2 linked regions of the Schizosaccharomyces pombe genome follow. The protein of the gene in region 2 interacts with the protein of the main gene of each other region in a pairwise test. Each region holds a gene or a part of one and is shown on either strand. Other genes may lie near its edges. The genes, in order: psf2 and dpb2.

Region 1 (3,778 bases), 2.4 Mb from region 2:
AGCATCATCAATTCTTATGTACCTTTTAAAGTGATGTGTTTCAACGCTTTTATTTTGTAAACTTGCTGCTTTTTTCTAATTCTAGGTCATTATTCTTCTTTCAATTTATAAAATATCTTTTGGGTACGCTTTTTTGTGCAATCCTCTCCTTTCTAACGTTTGTTTACATATTGAGTATTAGGTAACGATGTTACTTACATATTAGTTGAAGATTTATTGTTTATACAACAACTCTTATTCCCACCACCTTTTCAGCGCACCCAGAAGTACCGTCTTTTGATCAGCTGTTAGCAAACATCTGTTTTGTTTTTTGATAATTTATAATGCTTAATGATGAACAAGCGTAAAAGAGTGGAAGAGCTTGGAGAGACGAAACATCGTCAAGTACGACAGCGAATTCTCCAAGAACACAAGAACGATATACTTGAAAATTTAGCATTTGAACGTAAGTTTTTGTACCTGGAAGTAGTAAAGTGTTAACGGGTATTTTTCAGTTTCCGATAAAGTACGACGTTTGCGCTCAAACGCTAGTTTACTTGCTTCAACAATTCGTATGCGAGGAGAAATGCGTATCGCCGCTATTCCTCGCGCTCAACGAAATATGCATCTGCGCGATCTAAAGAACCATCTTTCCTGCAATGTGTCTGCCACACCGTGGAGAACGTAAGTGTAATATCAAATTTTACTTTGCCATACGTACTACTGGAAACACTAATTGCTAATTACTATTTCAGAAAAATAAAAGAATTTTATAATCTAGACGAGCTTTCCTCCCAAAAGTCCGCTAGACAACCTACAAAAACGGTGGCATCCTCCTCTTCTTCTTCATCAAAAAGCACCACCGTTTCCAAATCGAGTTCAAAGTCGCAAGTGTGAAACCCTCATCTACTGCTTACTGTGATAAAATTTCACTACTACAAAGTTGGTATTCATAAACACTTCGTAGGATTCATTATCATTATTTTTAAAGTACATCATCCACACGATACCGAAATATTCTCATGTGAAGTCCATTTATTTCCCACTTTACTTTTGATGAGTAACTCATTCTTCTTGGGAAACTTGAACAATTTTGCGCATTCTGTCCATCACCTCTCGAAATATAGGACGTATTTCGTTAATTTCCATTGCACCCAAATTATCCAAAGTTAGTTGAACTTCATTAATGGCTTCCAATCCCGTTCTTGCTTTACTTTGTCTAGCTTCTCGAATGTCCAGCAAAATCCTCCTGATATCCTCAACATCCTCGATATCATCAGCACAGAAGTTTAACAATAAATGCGCCGTTTCTAGCCACCGAAAAGGCAACTCTGAGAATGTCTCGTTTTCCAATTCATCATCTCGTATGTTTTCAAGTTTGCCTATTTCCATCCATTCCGGAGGTACAATCCTTGCCAAATTTTGCTTTTTTAGCTCAAGAGCCAACCATAAAGGAACCCGACATTTTTTGGGAGGCTTCATAATGGGAATCGTCGCGCTAACTAGCGGCAATTGATCCATTGTTTCTGAAGGAACAATGTTAATATACTCATTGCCAGCTAAAAATTCCATTTCCTCTGGTGAGAATGAAATTTCAAGTTCCCTTGGTAAGGCCATCTCTATCACCAACGAACAGTACAAAAATGCCTATCAATAGTACCGTTTTTGGGCTTAATGTCTTTTTTTATTTAAAGTTTTGTTTTTCTATTTTGGAGTTCGTTTATAGCATTTATTGGTTGTTATTCCTTACAGCATAATTTTTTGTGTGGTGGGTTTCGGACTCATAATAGTCACCCTCATCTAAATCACATCTTGCTCTTAGGTCATCGGTATATGATTGTCAAATTTTTATATTTCTCGTTTTAAGGTAATAATTTTGAATGCAAAAACCTTCATTGTCACAAGACCTTATTTGGATATTGAAATCAGTCCAATCTCGTAGGTCTACGAAAGGGTTTTTGCAAAAACATTCTTCGCTTAAGGATGGCTCTCCCAACAAGAAATCCTTCGCTCAGCCAATATCGAGTTCGTTTTTAAACAGAATTTCTATTACCAAAATTGATGATGTGGATTCTTTAAGTGATAATACCCTATATGGAATTGGTCGAAGTATAAATAGCCTGGCACGTTTAGGGATTCAATCAGTGATTGTTCCCACTTCCAATCCAATTGGCATGACATCTCCTTTTAAATATTTGGAGAATGGTACGGTCGTAGCGAAAAAACGTAAACTTTCAATCTTTGAGGAGCTACAGCAACAGCAAAATAGAGTCATTCGAGTTTCGGAAATTTTTTCGAAAGCGGGAGTGTTAACCCGTCCTAGCTACTCCTCTGTATGTCAATTGGGCCCTGAAGGCCCTAGTGTTGAGAATGTGCAAGGTATTTTTCAAGCGCTGTCTTCACTTTACACGGTCATAGTGCCAAGCTCGATTTTAATGCCCAACGTCATTGAGGTTCCAATTGATGGTAATGAGGTTCTTGCTGGTTTAACTTACTCGTTACACAAGCCAAACTTTGGGTTTTGGGTAGACCGAATCGTCATTCTTGATAAAAATGGTGGCATGCCATGTTCTAAACGACAAACTGGTTCTAGTCATGTTCTCATCAATCTGGCTCAAGAGTTTGACGAGTTAGCGAAAACACTTCCACCTTATCATAGAAAAAATTTGATTTTGGTAAGACGCTGTTTGAAAATGTTACCGGATGATGCCTCTGCTCTAATCACTACGCCTGAGGATGCTATGCTTACAAATCCTGTCTTAGACAAAAATCCGTTAATTCACAATGTTTTGACGGATCGCTCTATTATTTCATGTTCCTTGCCGCGCGATCGATCTCCTATTACGAAAACAACTGTTTTGCGTAGCGGTGTACCGGTATATACATTCCTAGGTCCGAAATGTCTAACTGATGGCTCCGTTTCGTGGGAAAGGCTTTGGGTTTTAATTAATGACTCCTTTAAGCGAACGCTTGATATGGACGCATATTTAGATAGGTTGAAGAATTCGCTAGCTGCAGTCATTATTGCAGGGGACTATTTAGGGACAGCCATTGTAACTTATGAACAACCAGATGGAACAACGAATGAAAAGGTCCCTTATCTTGATAAGCTTGCCGTCTCACAAGGAGCCCAGGGTTCAGCAGCAATATCTGATGTTATGTTTAATGTTATGACTGATTTATTTCCCAAAGAGTTGATATGGCGCTCTCGCCTGACTAATCCAGTCAATAAATGGTACTTTGAAAGAAGTGTAGGCTCCTTAAAGTCAAGCAAAACACCTTGGAAACTTTTCTGGACTGGAGACTCACATGTCAGAAATTTGGATCGAGTGAACCAGTATATGAGCGTTATTGATAAAATTCAGCCAACATGGTTGAATTGAGTGGAAGTTAACGATTGCACTTTATCAGAGACAAGATTATTTCGCTTCTTCAAAAGCACTTGTCAAACTTTTTAATAAAAGGAAAAAAGTCCATTTTGATAGGACATTAATTCTCTTTTGCACATTAGATTATAGATTGAGTAGTTTGCCTACAAACTTGCATTTTTCTTTAGTTATGATTTTTGTTTATTCCCCCACATAACCCCCATGTAGAGCTTAGAAAAGGTGATACTAGCTTTTTTCTTTTGTGAGTATCAACGTTTATCAACAAAACTAGTAGTAAACATGTCTTATAAACTTGAGTTGTTGCGTCGTGCCTTAGAACATAATGTTTTGAAGTTTGGAACTTTCACCTTAAAATCAGGCAGAAAATCTCCATACTTCTTCAATTCTGGTAATTTCACTCATGGTGCCGA
Region 2 (3,931 bases):
AATTCAGCAAATGTTTCAAGTGTCAAGCGATCAATGGCGTGAAACTCAGGATAAAATGGCTTCTGCTACCCCTATTTATAAACCCAATCAACGCCGTATTGCTGCTTCTGTTCCGGACAAACCACCTCCCCCTGGATATATTTGTTATAGATGCGGTCAGAAAGGACACTGGATTCAAGCATGCCCTACCAACGCTGATCCTAATTACGATGGAAAACCAAGGGTAAAACGAACTACCGGAATACCTCGATCTTTTTTGAAAAACGTTGAAAGGCCTGCTGAAGGCGACGCTGCTAATATTATGATAAATGCTGAAGGAGATTATGTTGTAGTACAACCAGACGTAGCGTCTTGGGAAACATATCAATCTCGTAAAGCAGCTTTAACTGCGAATGACGTGTATAAAATGCAGCCTCCGAACATTTCTTTGGCATGTACATTATGTAAGAAATTAGCAAGAAATGCTTGCAGAACACCTTGTTGTGATAAACTTTTTTGTGAAGAGTGTATTCAAACGGCTCTTTTAGATTCGGATTTTGAATGTCCAAATTGCCATCGAAAAGATGTTTTGTTGGATACTTTAAACCCCGATTACCAAAAACAGAGGGAAATTGAGGCAGTCGTCAAATCTGTACTCGGTTCTAATAGCAAAAACAGTGATAAGGTTGGTACTTCTGACGATAACAATACACCAATGTCTGAAAAGCGCAAGCGTGAAGATGACGATGCAAATGGACCTAACAAATTTGCGGCAAGATCTTCTGCTGTGTTTTCCAAAGCCACCGCTGAACCAGCTTTTAAGTCAGCTATGGCCATCCCAGATATGCCATCAATGCCTCATGTCCAAGGGTTTCCGGCTCCTTTTCCCCCTTTTATGATGCCAGGCTTACCTCAAATGCCGCCTATGATGATGAATGCAATTGCTGGCCAAGTATATCATAATAATCGAAATCCACCTCGTACAAACTCTCGTCCTTCAAATGCGTCTGTTCCCCCACCATCCTCGCTACATAAGAATCCCCCTACTAAAACAAATTAGTTATTACTTATTTCTGATTTTCTTGTAAACTTGCGTTTACTGTTTACGTTGTTGAAAGTCCTTTTTTCAGCTATAATAGGGACAGTTACACATATTCATTCAAAAATTTTTATACTAATACATTCAATTAATACAATCTAATTTATGGAGCGTTTTTTTAATATGAGAGTAAATTCATATCTATTGACTTTTGAATTACTTCGAAGTGGATTTAAAAGTATTTAGTATCATATTTACATCAAAAAATGGATTGCTAACGGATTTGATGCTCAGCAAATTACTGCTGACGCTGATCAGGTGCCTTAACAAAAATTGTAATCTAAGAAATTAAAAATACTCAGAAAGTCATATTATATAAATCAGTAGTAATGTATTTTTTTTTATTTATTTGCAATATTGCAATAAATTTTTCAAAAAGCTTGTAGTAATAATAATAGAGAACAAACAATTCTTAGACTAAAGTTTCCGAGTAGAAGGATCAAGGATTCAGTACTCCTTAATTTTACAAAAGAATATTTATAAAAATAAGCTAATTTTCTAAATCAATTGACATTACAATTCGCCGATCAAATGTTTTATCAGAGAATATTATAAAATCAAAATATTTAGCTAAGCGAAATTTAAATGTATTTTCAATGCTAACAACACGTATTCAGATAATCTATTTATAGGCTTCTCGAAATGTTCCTATTATATAAAACAGCTTAGTTTACCTAAGTTTTACTTTATTTATTAACACATAATTTCAGCTTTCGTAAAGGAATTAATTATACTCAACATTTTGTTAGACATACTATAGTACGCTATGATACAGTACGTAGAGAATCACTATATATCATGTGTCCTAATTATTCATCGTACCACGTATGATACGATATTGAAATTGATTTTAATGATAGTCTATTAAGACCTATATCATTTAAATACTATTAATAGAGTTACTGATAAACTTCGTTCGTCAGTTCAGTTATAAGCTATGTTAGTGATAGTAACGCTATAAGTTGGATAGTATAATATCTATACTTAGTTGCTACTTATATTACCTTTATATCGCAATTTAATAGATCGCAAGAAAACCTCACCGCAATTCAGCGTATCGTTAATATGGATATTAAACTGCGTAGCTGACACAGTTTATGATTTTATAGTAGTGCGTTAAAATATTTTAATGAACCAGATTGAGAAGTTAGCATTTAGCATTTTGATATTAGACAAACAGTGAATAAAGGGTACACCATAGCTATCATCTACAGTAGTCCTTTGAAACTTTTTCACTTGAATCCAAAAAATTATTGATTACATCCTATGTTGATTAGAAAACCATATACATTGATCTGTCCTTGATACAGTGAGTGGGCACTAAACGATTCTATAAAATCAAAAAGCGAAGGGTTTGCATTAATATATTTCTTAAAATAGAATGAACAATTCCATTACGGATTCGGTAGAAAAAAAACCTGAACAGGTTAGTTTTGAAGTTCAACCCAATGCCCTTCGTCCGGTTGCTTTCCACGTATTTACCAGGAAGTACGATCTCAATATTAATCGTGACTCACTGCAGGAATTAGCATCTTTCGTATCTAAAAAATGCGGCTCACAATGGCGTTCCCAATGTGAGCCCTTACTAGACGAAATTGCAAAAACTTGGAAACGAGTTCATGAAACTCAACCTATAGTTACTCGACCTCTTTTGATCCCTGTCTTGGCAAATTTAAATGTTCCGCATGAAGTTCGCGTATCTTCCTTAGCAAGAGTTCAAACGCTTGAGACAACCGGTTCATTTTTAAATTCGAGTAATTCGGAAATCCGTGAAACTATAAAAAATGAGAAATACTTTAGAGTCCTTGATGCTTTTAAAATGCCTAAATTTAAGTACGATTCATCAAGAAAGGTTTTCGTTTTATCAAAACAGTCTCCTACTTTAATGGCATCTGCAAGTGCCTGCACAGATATGCTTAACCGCAGATTCAATGTTGTATATAGCCGTATTTTACGCAATGAATCTTTTCAAACACCTTCTTTCAGTGGCTCTTTCTCTCAAACAGGTACATATCAATTAACTCCTATTCGCAATTTATTAGGTCGAGCTGGAAACACATTTTTGTTGTTCGGACTCTTGACTATAGCTCCCGATGGTACCTTATGGCTGGAAGATCTTGACAGTCAAGTTCAACTAGACGTATCACAGGCAGAACAAGGGTTCGGTCTCTTTTGCCCTGGCTGCTTGGTACTTGTTAATGGTCAATTTCTAAGTTCTGGGCTATTTTTAGTTTTTGAGCTTGGTCATCCTCCCATTGAACGCCGTGATGCTTCCTTGAAGGCCCTTAATAATTTAGATATTTTGGGGTTGAATATGGATGCAAAGCAACTTGCTCTTCTCCGTCACGCGGAACAGGCATATCAGTCACAAGCTTTTGTTTGTATCAGCGAGGTTCATCTTGACAACCATCAAACTTTCTATGCATTAGAAAAAATATTCCAAAAATATGAATCCTCTGAAGCTGTGCCGTTTTGTATAATATTATGTGGAAGTTTTATGTCTTCCGCTTTCCATAATTCAGGAAGCTCAATTCAATATAAAGAAGGATTTAATAAGCTTGCAGCTTCTCTTGAGAAGTTTCCAAAAATTTGCGAAAAGACAAAATTCATATTTGTCCCCGGTCCAAACGACCCTTGGACGACAAATGGGATATCCTTAATGCCTAAGCATTCAATACCCCTTCATTTCGTAAATCGGATCCAACGCGTTTGTAAGCATACCATTTTCGCTTCAAACCCTTGCCGCATCATTTTCTTTTCTCAGGAAGTACTAATTTATAGAGACGATATATCAGGAAGATTTCAAAGGAATTCATTAAAGTTTGGGAAGACTCCCCAAGGTACCTCCAATAT

What was found.
Region 1: the proteins of dpb2 (region 2) and psf2 interact in a two-hybrid assay, tested with the Schizosaccharomyces pombe proteins (one study listed by BioGRID).

Annotation. Positions count from the first base shown.
Region 1 is NC_003423.3:1,227,432-1,231,209, forward strand, and holds psf2 (GINS complex subunit Psf2), read right to left. Parts: upstream 1,757-3,778; 5' UTR 1,597-1,756; coding exon 1,045-1,596; 3' UTR 877-1,044; coding exon of another isoform or gene 735-876; 3' UTR 717-734; downstream 1-716. Other genes in the region: nbl1 (borealin N terminal domain-containing protein), read left to right, coding at 331-445, 495-663, 735-876; acetylglutamate synthase Arg6, read left to right, coding at 1,860-3,362; orotate phosphoribosyltransferase Ura5, read left to right, coding at 3,648-3,778. UniProt on the Schizosaccharomyces pombe protein: The GINS complex plays an essential role in the initiation of DNA replication. Has a role in chromosome segregation and is required for bir1 localization.
Region 2 is NC_003423.3:3,657,281-3,661,211, reverse strand, and holds the start of dpb2 (DNA polymerase epsilon catalytic subunit B Dpb2), read left to right. Parts: upstream 1-2,281; 5' UTR 2,282-2,459; coding exon 2,460-3,931. Other genes in the region: mpe1 (RBBP6 family ubiquitin-protein ligase E3), read left to right, coding at 1-1,039. UniProt on the Schizosaccharomyces pombe protein: As accessory component of the DNA polymerase epsilon (DNA polymerase II) participates in chromosomal DNA replication.